Drosophila melanogaster: one gene and its partners. The protein of the gene in region 3 interacts with the protein of the main gene of each other region in a pairwise test. Each region holds a gene or a part of one and is shown on either strand. Other genes may lie near its edges.

Evidence for each region. The genes of interacting proteins can lie anywhere in the genome.
Region 1: the proteins of tup (region 3) and CG11883 interact in a two-hybrid assay, tested with the Drosophila melanogaster proteins (one large-scale study listed by BioGRID).
Region 2: the proteins of tup (region 3) and Pgam5 interact in a two-hybrid assay, tested with the Drosophila melanogaster proteins (one large-scale study listed by BioGRID).

Annotation. Positions count from the first base shown.
Region 1 is NT_033778.4:10,615,802-10,621,713, reverse strand, and holds the start of CG11883 (uncharacterized protein), read right to left. Parts: upstream 4,053-5,912; 5' UTR 3,878-4,052; intron 1,824-3,877; 5' UTR 1,715-1,823; intron 1-1,714.
Region 2 is NC_004354.4:1,870,848-1,875,293, reverse strand, and holds Pgam5 (phosphoglycerate mutase 5), read left to right. Parts: upstream 1-1,728; 5' UTR 1,729-1,763; coding exon 1,764-2,321; intron 2,322-2,387; coding exon 2,388-2,699; 3' UTR 2,700-2,894; downstream 2,895-4,446. Other genes in the region: Vps26 (vacuolar protein sorting 26), read right to left, coding at 1-933, 1,013-1,156; CG14803 (uncharacterized protein), read right to left, coding at 2,943-4,446. UniProt on the Drosophila melanogaster protein: Displays phosphatase activity for serine/threonine residues, and dephosphorylates and activates Pk92B kinase. Has apparently no phosphoglycerate mutase activity.
Region 3 is NT_033779.5:18,877,168-18,884,187, forward strand, and holds the start of tup (tailup), read right to left. Parts: upstream 4,095-7,020; 5' UTR 3,629-4,094; coding exon 3,490-3,628; intron 1-3,489.

The sequences.
Region 1 (5,912 bases), on a different chromosome or scaffold from region 3:
CAAAAGGTAAGCTGTGGATTCTGGCAGGACATGGGAAATGAATTGCAACCGGTCAGGAAATGCTCAGAAATGGCAAATTGCCTGGCGGATGGGTTGCATTTTCAAGAGCTCCACTTCGTGACCAGTGAGTTTTACAGCTTCAACTCACTTTAAGAGCAGTTGTTGGTAGCCACAGGCCAAACAGTTGACTATTTAATTAAACATGCACACAGTTTGTTTTGCCTGCAGCACTAATTAATGCCCATCAAATTGAGTTGCGTATATTAGTGTCAATGTTATTGTAACTTTAATCGAATCCAACGAACCAGACATAATTAATTTCATATTTCAGCTAAGTGCTGTTTAACCCGCAACCACTTTTCAAACTGCAAACTAATATGCCCATTAAGCGTTCATGCAGAAACATCCAATGAAACACAAAGTGGCAACCGCAAAATCTCATTTCACAATTCGCGCACACCAAACAAATGCCATAAATATTTGGAATTCGCTTCGATAGCAAAGTTGCAGACACTCTCGCAAAAATATTGTTTATTTTCATTCAGTTTATTGCTCAAAATGAAATATTCAGTTTAGGGAACTTCGTGAGATTTGGATTTAACCTTGAAAACTTTAACAGTGGAATTACTTTATGCAAGAAAATCAATTACTATTTGATCTAAAATACTATTATATATTCATTTATTTGACTCCTGATTACTTCCCATTGAAAGGGTATGCATTTCAAAAATGACATTTGGACATGACAGCTCTGATTTACGTATGTGCAACAGATGAACTGGGTTTCCAAAAATGAGAATCACATTTTCAAGGACTGCTCTTTTGAAGCAACCTGCTGGAAACACTACTGAATAATGTTTAAGCACTTTCACTTACTTAACATTCGCATTCGTTCTGTTTTCGCTTTGCAAGGATTTGGCTCGGGATGAGCAAACAAGTGGAAGTCGAAGGAAAAAACAATTGCATGCAATCAATTGGTGAAATCAGGCATGCAATTTGCATGAGTGTGTGTCTGATGCCCTTGACTCCTGAGCAAGCTACGTTCCATCAGGTGAGAGACAACCCAAGGCAAGGGTTAAGGGTCAATTGGGCGAAGGCAAAGGCGATGGCGCAGGGCCACAGGGAAGGTTAAGACTGGGCTGATTTTCTACATCCGAAGGAGGAGCCCTGTTATCCTGACACACTCACATGCAAAAAGTTACTTTCGCAACAGTTGTTCGAAAAGGTTGGGGTTTGTACTTGGTTTATCGCCAGCTTGTTGGCAACAAAAGTTGATTAGCATATTACGTATACGTCCGATTGCCCTGTAACATTTTCATTTTGGGCCGAGGGGAACGGAAATGAAATGTGTAATGAGAAAAACGGAAACTCAAACAGCAACTCAGGAATAAATTATTAAGGGCATTTCCACATTGCTTCAGAAGTGAGCACATATGTACAATATGTATGGTTTTCAAACATGAGGTTAAAGTTAGTGCAACAAAGCCTTAGAACTATTTAAACAACGTTATGTCCATAGGTTCTTAAACCAACCAGTTCAACTATTTTAATACCACTCCAACCTTGGCATTTAATTTAGATCAATAAATGCGGCGGGCGTAAGTTTTAATAACTCTCAGCTGAGATACTCGGCTTCAACAATTTCCACCCCTTTTAATTGCATAATTGATAATTTCACCTAACGACCGTCAGTTACAGCCAGTTATTTACTCACTTGCGTGTAAGTTTCCGTGGGTCCTCCTCCCGTTTCGATTTTCCTTATTTTAGTAGGGGTTGCCCAGCAACTGATTTTCGGGTCGTTCGTTGTGTGGGATGCCAGCAAACTGCAAGGTAAAGAAACTTGCTGAATAATTCAGGATAAAGGATACACAGGCCAACTTGTCTTACGCGAACTTTAAGTCAATACTAACTTAGATAAATTGTGGTATACTTTACAGGGAACCCCATACAGGTGAATGGCAAAGCATGTATTCGAATGCATTTTATATACGTTATTAAAAACCATTTCTCTTGGATTGCATATGCATTGGTTCGCCTTTTATAAGACAAATAGGTTTTACAAGCTAAAGACGGATTTATATCATCTGAGATCAACATTTAACTCCTTTTTTCTAACTAATAAAAGCTCATTTTAGTTTTGTTTAGCCGTATTTAGTCCATCTGGACCTCTCCCCAACATGCGTGTGTCAGCTTTACGCTAAAGCATTGTAACTAGTAACATTGAAGGTCTATTTTTACTACCCACCCTCTGGTTGGGTTCCTCTCGAAAACAGCAAACAAGACTCCCATCTGCCACAAAGTATATTATGACAGCCACACAGGCACCGCCACTTGACTTGACTGGCTTTTAATTTTATTACACACATACTCTTTTTTTTTACTCATCTCACTTCAAGCCGCCAATCGAAGTTTCAAAGCCAAAGATTCGATCGCACCTGTTGTGGGTTGTGTTTTTATTTGGCGTAAGGTCTTTAATTATTTGTCATGCCTGTTAAAAAATTTTATAGTGATTGCTTCAACTTTCTAATTGCTAGGGGCAATCAATCAAAACACCATCAAACATGTAACTTTTAAGGCTTTTTCGTTTAATTGAAGAGCCGTCCATCACAAATACTGACAACTGAGTTGCTATTTAATAAAATGTTAATTTAAATGATGCGTTCAATTTATAAATTTTCAAAAATTTTCACATATTCTTACGTTAGCATGAACAAGATGTTAAAACAAAATCAGTCATGATCATCAATGTGTTTTGAGCATACAATTTGCCACTGGTTGAAAACACGAGAAAGTTTTGAGATATGTCATTTCAGGTGTTTATTTTTAAAACGAAATAAATTTCGTGGACTTCAAGGTCAAGTATTCTAGAGCAGACCCCGAAATGTGGTCACACTTCTTGCGAATAGCCAAGACCCACATTCCTACTGTCAAGTTCAAATGGCCAAAAACATGGCAAACATCAGCAAACACTTTTTCGCCAGCAGCGGCACTTGTTGTAAAAACAAAAGTGGGCTGTTTGAGGTGGTTTTCTGCTGGGTGGGCAATGGGAGGTGGGGTGTTGTCTAAGGGTATTTGAGGCCAACATTCTGACAATCAGCTGTCTTGCATACAGAGAGTGAGAGAGAGAGAGGGAGAGAGCATTTCTCTCTTGAGAGGAAGCTTTTCTTGGGGGCTGCTTCCGAGAACGCTCACTCGCAATATTTATAACCCCTCAGTGGGTTCTCTTAATAAGCACGTTGTTTGGTAGCTGTTATTATTGTTGCGTATTTTTTTGCTGTTGTCTTTTAAGTTAATATTTTAGAACGTGTTGAGCGACGGGCTTTCGCACACCACGTCATACTCCCGTGTACCATGCATATATGTGTATACACACATCTATAGCTGTGTGTTGGTATGTATCATGCGTAATGTAATTTCATGGGGGTTACGAGTTTTGTACACTTGAACTTGCAGCTGTCCTCTGGCATACAAAAATAAACTGTTTATGCAGTTAACTTTTGGGCCGTGCTTTCGTTGCCCCGATTTAGCCCCACTTTTTCCGCCTATCATTACTAATTCAACGCACAGTCCTGTTTTTTTCGAAAATTATTCGCAATCATGCGAATTCTTGAATTGACACTTCCGCCATACTCAAATGTACAAGCAAATTTCGCGAGTGGGAAAGTAAATTTGCAAATTTCACACTCAATTAGAAGACACATCATATCACTTTCACTTAACAAAGTCATCACTTTCAATTGAGCTGATTTAAATCGAATATAAACAGATTAATACTGATTAATCAATTAGCTCAGGCTCATTTGCCACTGATAAGCTGGAATTCCCATTCGACACTATTGCGATTCGTTTTGTTTGTTTGTTTATAGCCAAGACTTACAAATTACTTTTCCAAAACCAAGTTTGTTTCTGAAGCCAGCGAAAAGGGCTGAGTCTGCGAAGTTTTTTCTTTTCTTGGTAAAAAATCTTCTGCGTAGCGAAAGGAATCGGTGCAGACGATCGGAACGCGGAATACAAAATACCACCGTTCACATGGGAAGCAGAACTTTGACTGGCATCTTCCGCTTCTAGGTGAGCACGGTCAAAAGTAAGTTCAACATGTGGGAGAGCATGCGCCAGCTGAGCGGAGAGCCGCCTAACAGAAAAGCTCGCCTAACATTGTTGGCCAAGACAGTGGCTGCCTAAGCCAAGATCAGGTTAACAGAGGCAAAGCTTTACAGGCGGTTAAATTTGAACCGGTAGCGCCAAAAAAGCATAATTCACGTTTCCATTACTGCTAGCTTTACAACAATAAATAATAACAAACATGTGTGATAACCATCTTAAATAAACTTTGTTATCCATAATAAAAATGTGAATCCAGAATTAAGTGAACTTGTTAAATTTAGTACAATTAATCCCACTTACAATTCAAATAAAATGAGAAATATGCCATTTTATGTAATTATTCAATAATTTTTATTTATAGTACCTCACTTTAAAAATTACGTTATACCAATATTACATTAAATGTTGTTTGTTTATTACATGGGTTGTTTTCGCTATTTCGGCTGTTACATAGATTGTTTCAGTGTTTCCTTTTTGGGTTTACATTTACCGTTTATAATAGATATTTGCTGTATATGCATATTTGATAATCCGAAATGTGCTATAATATTGTGTGGTTAAAGTTTACTCTTACACATTTAGTTAGCTTAAAATTTTAAATGTAATATTTTTATTATTTTTACGTTTCTGTGATTCGCCTTCATTTTCGATTCTTCAAGTTGCTGGGTTCATTTTTTAATTGCTCTTGCGACAATTTTAACAAAGTTATAATGATATTTTCATTTATTGTTGTTCTAACTCTTGTAGTTGCTACTCCGTATGCTTTAATTATTTTACAATGATATACAGTTTTGCTATAAAACATTAAAATGAATCCAACTAAAGATAATAGGAATTGAATTAAATTATGTTGAGTTTTAAGGTAAGCATATTGCATTCAGTTCTACGGGTCTATAACGCTAAAATAAATTAATTTGCAACATTTGATTTTTATAATATTCAGATACCTGTTCCCCTAGGTCAGCTAACAACTAAAAAAATCTATTCAAATGTATATACAAAGATATCCAAGTGCTCGCCGCACACGCATAGTTGAGATGAAACCAAAAAGTTTTGAAGTTTCTTCAGATGGGTGTTTACTAGGTGTATCCATTCCTCCGATTCCTAAATATGTAGATACGCTAGTGGAAGCTATTATACATTTTTTATCGTTTTTAAATTTCTAATTCAAAATTTTGAATATATTTCCCATTGTGGTAAATTTGTTGTCGGATTTTTATATAGACCAATCAAGTCTACCCCGGATTCGAAGGGTAGTATCCAAAACTCGCTCGAATAATGCTTTTTAAAGAAATGTATACTATAACTACTTTCATTCTCTGCTACACTAAGACATTTTACAGTTCAATTAGAGGTGTTTTGTATCCATATATATACGTGTGTATTTATTGGTTTCTTTTTCTTACAAGCTTGTTTTAAATCTTTGTTTGAATGTGACTTCAAAGGACATTATTTAAGAGCTTAGTATTAACAACATTTGCAGTTTGATTCGCTAATTTCAGCTGCTTCTGTTTCCGGTTCTTTCAAAAATACATTCCATTTGTTGATTCCTTGCAATTACTTCATTTCTACATTTATTTATTGGCTATATTCTTAATTCAGTTGAAATCAAATCAATATACAATCCAAAATTCAGGACGCCTCCAGTAAAATTCAAATAACTCGTTTTGCTTTCTTTTATCGTTACAAGCTAATGATTTAAGTTCTAGAACCTTGATAATTTGGTTTAATTCTACGTTAAGGTATTCTCCCACTTCGTTCTATCTGTTCAAACAATATGGTTATAAAGCATTTGATTCATGTATGGG
Region 2 (4,446 bases), on a different chromosome or scaffold from region 3:
GGACTCAGATCCTGCAGTGCCCGGCGCTGTCGGTGCTCCTCCCACCTCTCCGCTGTCCGTGCTCGAGCTGATCAGCGAGTGAGCCACTGTGGGCGCAGCAGGACCGCTGACCAGGTGCGGCGGAGCGTGCAGGGGAACGTGTTGGTGCTGCTGTTGCTGGTGCTGCTGAGCGCCATGGTAACGCGGTTTGTCTGCCTTGCGCCACAGCGTGATCTCCTGTTGTTTGAAGTAGCGCCGGTCCTCGGTGTCCATCAGCACAAGGTTGAGGAAATACTTGACTGAGAACTTCTTGTTAATGTCCCGCATGGTCGGCGTGAGATTGTAGCCAGCAAGAAAGACCCGGATGGGTATGCTCTCGCCTTTGACGGGCGCTCCGTCCATGATCTCGTACTTGGCAATCGTTTCGTTTTCGTTAAACATGGTGGGGCCCGTGCCCGTGCTCTCCTTCTTGATGATCGCAATCTCCATGTGCTTGATCTTAATGCGCACCAACAGGAAGTAGATCTTGCCGATAATCGTGTCCCGCAGGTGGTACTTGCTTTTGTTATACTCGAATTCGATGTGCAGGCAGTCTTCGATGCCTACCTCCATCTTGATGGGGTTGTTCATCTCCGGGTAGCTGCACAGTGTGTGCACGGCGATGTCGACCTCCTTCGTTATGTCGCTGATCCGCCTGACGATGGTTGCGCGCAGGAAGTACCGCAACCGCACGTTCGAGCCGGCGTACACCTCGAATTGCTTCTCCACTTTGGGGAAATCGAATGGATAGCTGTTGTTCTGGATGAGATCGCCCGGGCGGGCCAGGGCCTTCGCTAGACACTTGAATTCGTGGTGGTTACCCCGGTCGTAGTACAGTTCGATCTGGCCAATGAATTCGATCTTAATGCCCTGGTGCTCCAGCTTGCTGCCCGGCTTCTTGAGGGTCACGTTCACCTGGATGAAAAGGGGGTGGATATGGGTTTATCTCTGGTTATGCTTGGGGGAACTCCCCCCGATGCTGACCACGACGCACCTTGCCGGATACCGTCTCCCCGTCGTAGAATAGCAGCATCTTCTCCACTTTGCCGTCCTCCCCTTTAACCTCTGCCGTCTTGTGCTCAGCTCCATCAAAGACTATCTCAATGTCCGCTGACTGGCCGAATCCCAGGAAATTCATAATTGATAAACGTCGAATCGGCTTCTTCTTCTTCCGTTTCTTATTGCCCCCGCCTCTGCTTCTTGCTGCTCCGATGGAATGTCGACGCTGTGACTCCTGTTGGCGGCTTTTCCTAGAGATATCTTTCTGATAACCCCTTCAATAAACCTCAGCTTTGATAGGCGTTTTTCTGCGGCCTTTTTACGTCCTTCGTTCCGATGCTGGCGTATCTGTCGCGTCTGTGTGTGTGAAATGAAAAAAATTGCAATTTTTCACACTACGGCGTTGCCATATCGCGTCAACCTGATTGTTATTAAGGAGTGCCAGCGCTGGTACTTTTCAGTATTCAGTATTTGCATGGTATTTCTTTAAGAAACACATACGGAATAATTAACGAAACAATTGATTGTGGATCCTTAATTTTCTTGGTATACAATAATTGTGTAAATATATTTCGTATTTTTGATTCATCTTGGTAACTTTTCGATAGTTGAATTCTAAATGGTCTTGCGCGGTATTTATATACCCGCTAACCTAGTATGTCAAATACCAAATCGCAGTATTTAAATACCGCACTTATTCAGCGGAACAAAACTAAAATTAAAGAAAATACCTAAAAGCCCTAACGATGCGAAAGTTGACTAGCTTCGTGTGCGGCACAGGAGCCGGACTGGCGGCTTACTACCTACAGCGGCTGCGGGACCCGCAGACGGTCGTGCAGAACTCGTGGACGCACAGTGATAAGCCGGTGGATCCGTGGGCCCTTTGGGACACCAACTGGGATTGCCGGGAGCCACGGGCCCTCGTGCGTCCACTGCGAAACAGCCAGCCGGAGGAGGAGAACCGCTACAACGCGGAGCTTGAGAAGGCGAAGGCCAAGAAGGCGCGCCACATTATCCTAGTGCGGCATGGCGAGTATCTGGACGTGGGTGACTCGGATGACACGCATCATCTCACGGAGCGCGGCCGCAAGCAGGCGGAGTTTACTGGGAAACGGCTCTGCGAGCTGGGCATCAAGTGGGACAAGGTAGTAGCCTCCACAATGGTGCGGGCCCAGGAGACTTCCGATATTATTCTCAAGCAGATCGATTTCGAAAAAGAGAAAGTGGTGAACTGTGCCTTCCTGCGTGAAGGAGCGCCTATTCCGCCCCAGCCGCCAGTCGGCCACTGGAAGCCGGAGGCATCTGTAAGTCAAGTCAAGGGTCAACCCAGTGCGTATTCCACATGATATTCGGCTTTCATTTCACTGCAGCAGTTCCTTCGCGACGGATCGCGCATAGAGGCCGGCTTTCGCCGATACTTCCACCGCGCCTATCCCGACCAAGAGAAGGAGAGCTATACCCTGATCGTGGGACACGGCAACGTGATCCGCTACTTTGTCTGCCGAGCCCTGCAGTTCCCCGCCGAGGGTTGGCTACGGATTAACATTAATCACGCTTCCATCACCTGGCTGACCATCAGTCCATCCGGCAACGTGTCCATCAAGTACCTGGGCGACTCCGGCTTTATGCCCGCCGAGCTGCTTACCAATCGCATACCGCGCGACGTCAAAAACGTGGTTTAGCCGTCTGTTTATAGAACTGCCCAAAGGAGAAGCAATCATAATGTATTTATTTCCAACACTTTAACTGAGACCTTGAGCACAGATCGCGAGACTGTGTAAACCACCATGTACATTTTGCCGCACCGTAACGTATATCTCTTAAGGAGGAATCATTGAATCTTCCGACTGAAATAATAAAGATTTTATAGAATGCCTAACATTTTATTGAGAATCCTTATATGTACAAAAGAAGCCATGAGGAGCCTAAACCCTGCTCAAGACCTTTTGGAGTCGCTGCAAGCACTTGCGTATGCCCACATCTTCTCCAGCGCCGCGTTTTAGCTCCACCTGCTCTGCCTGCTCCCTTATAAAGGATAGGATGGGAGCCACTAGATCCGGCGCCAGCTCTGCCAGGTTGATCAGCATCTGGAAGTAAAAGTAAGTGCAGTGGGCCAGGTGCTTTTCGGCGAGGGATCGCAAGTGATTGGAGCACATATCCCTGACCGCCTGTGATCGCTTGTAGGCATCGTGCGATATAAGCACTTTATAAAGTCCAAACACTTGGTTGCGACTGAGGTCCACTTCGTCCACGAACATTACGTGTTCCAGCAGCGGGATGTGCACGCCGCGCAAAACGGTTAGCAGCTGTTCTTCCTGCTCTTTGCCAGTGCTCTCTATCAGTTGCTGCATTATAGTGATCACCAAGCCCGCATGCTGTCCTGCCCTCCGCCGCTGGACCACCAAAAACTGGGTAACGAGGAGCTGAAGCACAAACTGCGCCAGCTCTCCATCTACATCCGCCTGGAGGAGGGTGGCATATGGACGGGCCACCAGCTTGGCGTTGGATGAGAAGCTAAAGTGCGGCGTCCAGTGCTGAACTAGTTGCTCCAAAGTCTTGGCCACGTATGCGTCCGTGCGGTAAGGCAGTCGACCAATGCCTTGCAGCAACACTGGGAAAATCTTGTGAACCACTTGTGGAAGGCGACCTTCGGGCGGCACTCCTGCCTGCAACTGCGTGGTGAGCAGGAACCGCACCATGGCCAGGTGGAAGAAGCAGCTCGGCTTGGATCGCACGTACGCTAGAGTGGAACAATTATAGATGACAATGGCTAGGAAGCTGTAGAACCGGGAACCGAGTTCCGATCGGCTTCGATCCGGGGGTAGCCATAGCTCGAAATGATTTACATAGGCATGCAGTTTGTGGCTCAACTGCATACGGACGTGGGCAGCAGCCTCCTCTTGCTGGGCACGCCTTCCCAGAGCTCCAAAGAAGGCGCAGAGAGGCTCGCGCCCGCCCTCCAAAGAGGTGGGATCAATGGCCAGAAGTCGGAACTCCTCTAGCTGTGTGACATGGGGCATTAAAGCCAATACAGATTCGTGTTGTGCGTTTAGGAGGACCAGAGACTTCACCCAGACCTGAAGAATGGTGGAGCTGGCAGGTCGCCCTCCGTCTTCCAACACCTGGAGCAACAACTGAGCAGAAGCAGCCATATTGATGGGTTCTGGTCCCTGCAGGAAGCCCAGTAGCAGTTTGTCCCCATTATTCTCCAGGGCGATGAAGTTAGCCGCTAGCTTTGGAAGCCATGAGCTATGGCTACTAACGTATTGGGTCCTCACCAGTGGCATTATGTGCTGTTGAAGTGCCTCCTTGATGCCACTCGCATTGCCAGCCACAGCTCTCCGCTCGCTGAGACGGAGGATTAAATTGTGAAGCGTCTGCCATACGCGATCCTGCGATGCCTGCCCACACTTTTCGACGTAATGTGCC
Region 3 (7,020 bases):
TGATTTTTTTTTTGGCACATCGGGCACAGATTTCAAATGATGTCAGGGAATATCGAGGGCGAGGGGGAACTGGACTGGTGACACTGGGCGCAGGCGCACTGCTGTCTTGGGTCCGAATCTCAGGTATGGGCCAAGCCAAAACTCCGGCCAACATAACATATTGATCTAGTGCCGGGTACCGAAGTGCAAAATCAGATAAGCTTTGGGATTTACGTTTCTGTCTGCGCTGCCTTTTTGGGCCTTTGGGTTCAGGTCGGGAATTTATGGATTGCGCCTAAATAACTTTATCACACCCCAAGCAGCAGCAGCAGGGATTCCGAAATAAAAATCACACCGGAAACGGGAAGGCAAGCAAAAAATGTCAGCCAGGGACAACAGGAATTTGGATAGGAACTCGTAAAATATAGATAACGTCTGTCTGCCTTTTTCGAACTAATGGGTGTGGCTCCCTCCTGACGTCACCACTGTCGTATTGTTTTTGTGTTGTTATGCACTTAAAGTTAGGCCAAAAAATGATATGAAAGAATAACAAACCTAGCGCTATGACTATTCAAGCAAATATTCAATCAATTTCCAACCTTAACCCAGTGAATCTTCCAATACGAAACTATCAAAAACAACAAAAAACTCCAAACGAAATCGATCGAAGCATGTTTAGAATGGTAATATAGTTAATTTTATGGCACTCTAAATCGAATCGCGTTGCGTATACGAAACATCTTTTCCTTTCACTGACGTTTCAGCAGCTCTATAAATAACCAAGAGATCTGAGATCGGTGATCTATGGCTAAATAACCAGCCTCATCTGAAAACTCGGTTCCATTCTCTTTCGTTCGCAGACGACTTAACCTTATATGGCCGACGATTGACACTTTACAAATTATTCGAAAAATTATTTCAACTTTTTGTGCATTGGCTAAACATTTGCCCAATCCATTTTTCACAATTAACTTTCGAAAGGTTTTGTGTTTATTCATCGAAAATGCCAATTAGCATTCGGTGAATTTGCTGGCGAGAAATTTAAATGGAATTAATATGAATTAGATTAGGGAACATGTGTACGACGAGTAAGGGGAAAATCCGTGCCACCCCCGCTTCGCATTTTATTCAAATTTTTGGCTAATTGGTTAACTATAAAAATAAAAATCGCTTGGCTTTTATGGCCGCAAATAATTGTCAATTTTTGATGGTCTTCAACATAAAGTGGTACAATTTTATGGCAGCCGCCAACATGAAAAACCGAAACTAGTTCAACGCCCTGATGTATGCAGCGATCTCGGACTTACATAATTTTCTATAGAGCACGGAGAGTAAACAAAGGCTCTTCAGATACTTCAGATGGCGATTTCTTTTTGTTTTTACTATATTTAATTAATTTAACGACTACTTGAGAAGTTGCCAACGACATGTTGACTGGAGGCCTGGGTCTGTGACATGGAAAACTCATTAAAATGTTTACAGCGCTCAAAAATCAACAAACAAACAAAACTCGCCTCGGAACCAAGCGAACTAACAAAAGAGAGTGGAGCTGGCTGATACTAGAGGGGGGGGGGACGAAACGAAAACTACAAAAATTGTTTTCATTTCAAATATCAACTTGAAGCTGGAAAACTCTAACTTAAAGTTTTGTCAGCCGCCAACTAACTCACAGAGCAACTAAGCAGAGCGATGGGGAGGAAACTTTGTGAAAAGTTTTCAAATTAAAATGTTCGGACATTAAATATTTACCAGCGCTCCATGGCCGACAACTAATTTGAATTTAAATTACAATTACTAAAATTCAATGCAATTTAAATGATTCGCAGCTACAACTGCATGTGCTGCATTATTCCAGCCTCATATATAATTCAATTTCCCCGAACCCATTGTATGTAGTATATGTGCTTATGATTATGATTTTTCATGTTTTCCTTTTTTTTTCGGAATTTTTGTTTGGCTTTTTTGTGTTCTGCGGTCGTTCGTTTGGTTAGACAACTGTCAGCCAAAACATTTGTCACAATTTAGCATACGAAATAAAATTTGAATAAAATATATTCCTCTTTCTGTCACACACGGATGGCATTTTTTAATGACACTCTTGGTTTATGAATTCATAAAATGCATTTTGGTTAACAAACTTTAGGCTAGTTAAAAATTTGTCACATTATCGCATGAGATACATTTGTGATACATTTCCAGCTCTTTTCAGCTTTTTTCATGCAATTGCTTGCCCGCTTTGCTTGCGCGCTTAATTGCTCAGCATTAAAATGTCATTCAACCGTTAATTGGCTTCTATATAATATGTAAAGTGTGCTTAAAATAAAATACGGCTATAATTTAACAGTTATTGCCGTACTGAAACAACAAGTGACAGGTCGAGATAGGGTCTAAGCCCATTACAAAAGCTGCAGCGACAAGTCGGCTAACGACTGTGGCCCGAAAGAAATCCCGAACCTAAAGATAGAACCTCAGAAAGTCGTTCAATATACAAAAAAAAAGATCCTCCAATTTGACAAAAGAATGGCACAATAAAAATTATTTATGGATTCGTATTTTCTTGGTATCACTTTAATTTGTTTGTAATTACTTTAGCGCAGCCTTGCTCACATCACATCCATTGGCAAAATTAAAAACTCAAGGTATGAAAGAGTTCAACGCGTGCCTGAACTTTTTAATGATTTTGGTATAAAAATAACTTCGACCTTCGTTACAAATAAACTTGACTAACAGTTCATGGTTTTAAAGCTCGGAACCTTTGAGTCCGAGCCTTGATCTCTGATATCTGGAATTTAAAATGGTGGGCATTAAAATGTTTCAAAAATAAGCAAGACAAGTTTACAACTGTGATTTGGGTGCGAGCATTTGTTAACACGGCTTTTTACTTATTTTATTGGCTTTTAATGTCCAAAGCGGGCTTTCCTCGTTCATTTTCCATATTTACGAATCGAGAAAGTTACCCATCAGTGGCTCTTGTTTAATGACTATTTAATTTGCCAATTTTTGTTTGGGGACTAGGACAATAGCCATAAATAAGTCATTAACTGCTTTAAATAGCTTTATTAGCGGCAAATGATTCGACACTGATGCGTGATCTATGTAATGATGTTTCAATTGCAGGTATACAATTTCTGAATAGGTTGATTTAAAATGCAATTTAATCTTGGTTTACAGTGGATCAACAAAGCGCTTTTTTAGACTAAACCCCTATTAGCCTCTAAGTTATTTGTCAGGACATTTATTTAAATCCAAATTTTAAATCTAAGGGAACTAAGGAAAAAAACTGTAATGCCTTCTTAAACAGACCGAAAGTACTTAGAACCAACAAATGTATCTAGAAGATACAATAGCCTCATATCCAAACTGTGGAAGGGCATTCCATTGTTCTTTTTTTAAGACTGTCCCTAGGTAAGTGATCGTGCTATCTCCAGTATTAAATATCGTCCTTTTCAAGGATGCAGCCCAAATAGCCCGAAATCGGAAAGCCAGCAGCCCTTGAATATCGGTACTCACTTATCACATCGTGTCCATGGCAATCCAAATCCAGGTGATGGTTCATCACCAGCGATGGCTGTAATCCAGTTTGATTGTGGTTGTGATTGTGCAACGGTAGCTGGTGAGCCAAATGGCCACCAATCTCTGCCATTACCATATATTTGGCTGACAGGACACTCGGCGAAGCACACTCGAGATATTTGTGGGCTGGGAATCTTGAGAGCGGGCGCCTTTTCGTTTTGGGCCGTACTCAAGAAGTTTCCGGCATTGAGCAGGGATATTTGTGTAAGGCACTTGTACTGGTTTACTTATTCCGTGAAGTTTGCTTGAATTACTCAATATGAGACCGGGACACAGAGCACTGGGTTTTCGGCGAATTTAGCGGGATTATCACGGCTGTGTGATCCGTGTGCGCACACGCGTTTTGTTCGCAGGGATTTGGATCTATGGTGAGGGATTTAAGAGTCTCTCGCATCCGAAAAGGCAAATCCGACGGCTATCGAGCTAAGACGGTCGATGTTCGCGATACGACGGCTATATAGTAGCGATGACGACAACCGACCAACGACGATGTCTGGCGCACAAACATGCTCACTGCACGGAGACTGCTGAACGACTAAACCGGTCGGCGCTTCGTTCCGTTTGCCGTACGTTATCCGCACGCCAGGGAGCCAGCGAGCTAGCGAGCCAGCCAGCCACTCACCCCGAAATGTATCTCGCAGATACATTCTGCCTGCGAGAGCAGTGCGACTAGCTCGTCGCTCCGCAAGGGTAGGGAACTGGTGTGGCACTGGTGCAGCTGCAACCGGTTCCGAGCCAGTTCTGCGTGTACTTCTCGGATAGCCGATAGCGGATAGCCGACTCGATGGACTGACGGCCTGCAGGGGGGGGGGAGTTCGAAACAGGAACAGGTGTTTTTGTCGCACTCGCTCTGCGGGCAGCGCTCTCACGCTCCGTCCTTTTCTGGCAGCAAGCCCATCTCTTTCGCTTCCACTTGGTGGGCCTTTTCTAAATGGCGGCGAAGCGGGCCAATCGGTTGGACGGAGTGCGCATGACCGACTCCAGCTGTGGCTGCGGGATCCACAATCCACAAATGGAGGCAGTCAGGAGGTGGGCCCACATCCTCGCTCCCTTCGCTGGCCTTTTGTTTTGCCAATTTCGCTTTTGGTTTTCGAAGTTTGTACTACAAAATGGTTGCACTTGTAAGCAAGCGCACCCCCCTGGCCAACCCTACCCCACTCTTCATCCGTCGTCTGTCTTTCTACCCCCGAACTGTTGTAATGCGCTTGTCGAACTTTTCGGCTGTAGCCCCTCCGCTTTTGGGGCTCCCCTTTTCGCCCCTTTCCGCCCCCCTTGTCTCACCTGCCCGTCTTGACTTGGCTCTGCGGTCTGAAGGCGTCTCGTTTCGGGTGTGCTGCAACATCATAATAATTATTGATCTTTTGATTTCGTCTTCTGGTCTTTTGGGGAGCGCTCCAATCTCCACCCCCTCCCCCCCTGTTGCTCTGTTGCTCCTTCAAGGCCCTGTTGCAATTTTAATGACGCCCCCGTACGGCAATTTATATATGTGTTCGAGTGGGTGGCGGTCGGTGTCTGTGTTGCGGTTAGCAGTTCGTTGACTTGGCACCCAGTTGCCAACATTTGCTGGCCGATGATTTGTTGTAATGTCAGTTACCAGTTACCATCACCGACTCTTGGGGTGCACTCGAAGAAAAGCTTGTTTAAGCAATTTTGAAGAATGCTTATCTGTAGGCCAGGAAGAAGTTTAAGATGAGTTGTGGTGGTAAATTATTTTACTTAAATGTGCACATTTCTAAATTATATAGAATATGTGATAGAGATACAATCTAGTTTTATAATATTTTAAGTTTAACATCATAAACATATTGTGTTACTGTACAATTTAGTTAGATTTCCTTATTATTTTTTCGAGTGTCTGTAGCCTCTGACTACTTTTTTGCCATTTTTATTTGACGTAGGGTATTTTGAAGGAGTGGCCCTGCTGCGAACAGGGCTGCTTGTGGGTCTGGTAGAGTTTGAGCTGGTTTGGGGGGTGGTGGCGCTGCTGCTGTGTTGTATAATCAAGGTCATCGAGCTACAGTTTCAGTGGCCCGCTTGCTCCGTTTGGGGCACTCATTCATAGCCGTGTCTCAGTTAGCCAGACGCCGACATTAGTACATACTTGTTACAGCGAGCCACCCCCTTGCTACCATCCAACACCATCCTCTGCCACCCCCAACAGTACCCCAACCACCCCCGAATTGCGAGGCTTTCGCGCCATCTCCTTCGCACTCGAACGACAGCTGGCCAGCAGAAAACAGCTGACTGATGTCTGTGTGTTCGCCTGCGAGGGTGTGTGTGCCGGCGTATCTGTGTGCGGGGCAACTAGGCAGCTGGATGAGTGTGCGTTTGCTGGCAACATGAATTCAAAATTTAATTAGGTCCCGTCCATTAATTGGGTTAATTGAAATGCCGGTAAAAGTCAACGCTTACGAATTAGGACATGTCACTCAAGCCACTGCGCATCGATATGGTCGGAACAACGTTTAACTTGTTGGTTGAAATAGTTTTGTTTCGATTCGTTTAATTGAAATTGAGCAGACATGCTATATTAGCCATTGTTTAATGCATTTTTCTGCTTAAGCCCACGGCTGATCTTAGCCATTGGACAACTTACTGTCCTGGACCTAATTGCTAAGCTACCGAGCTTAACTTGGCTTTAATTGTTGGCGGCAGCTAATAAGGAAGATTGCATAGAGTTGTTTCTGTTTGATGCTTCACTAATGCTTCAGGAGGTAATTATATGTAATTATACTCTTATATGCAAAATATTAAATTATTCTAGTAGGATAGTATAAGCATTTATATTATCGAACTTATGGTATAACTTGACTATTTATTTCAAATAGTCATTTGTAATTAACATAAGTAAAGATATAGATTTCAAGGTTTTCCAGTACATTTCCCAAAGAGTTATGGTTATTGATTTCAATCTTCTAGAAAATAAATATATTGATTGAAATGAAGGTGAGTGGCATTCTTGTAATAAATATATACAAAATCGCAACCTTGGGCGCAAATAATATTTATTGCAGTTCTACGTTTATGCAAATGATTACGTTGTGTTCCTAGAATTTTGCCCTTTCATGGATCCTAATTAAATAAGTTTAAACCGTTCTTAAGTTTCACTTTCGCTTATTCCGATATTTTTCGCCATCATCTGCCCGGTCAACTTATTCCATTTCGTTTATTTCCAGACCGCAAAGCAAATGCAAATATATGCCCAAATGCGATCCAAACGACGGTTTAGGCAATTTTCAATCCTCGAAAAACATTTGGCAAAAAGAAGTGGGCAAAAATTTATGCAAACAGGGGCAGGAAAACTAGGAAAAACACCTACACAAACAGAGGTGTGGAGGTCCTTCGTCCTTTCGCTCCGACTTGTGGCTCATTTAATTTTCGCACTTTTGGCGGATCCGGGGCAGATGTAAAATGGAATTCCGAATAAACGTTGCCATGTGTAGTTGCGGTCGGATTACACGGTTGTCG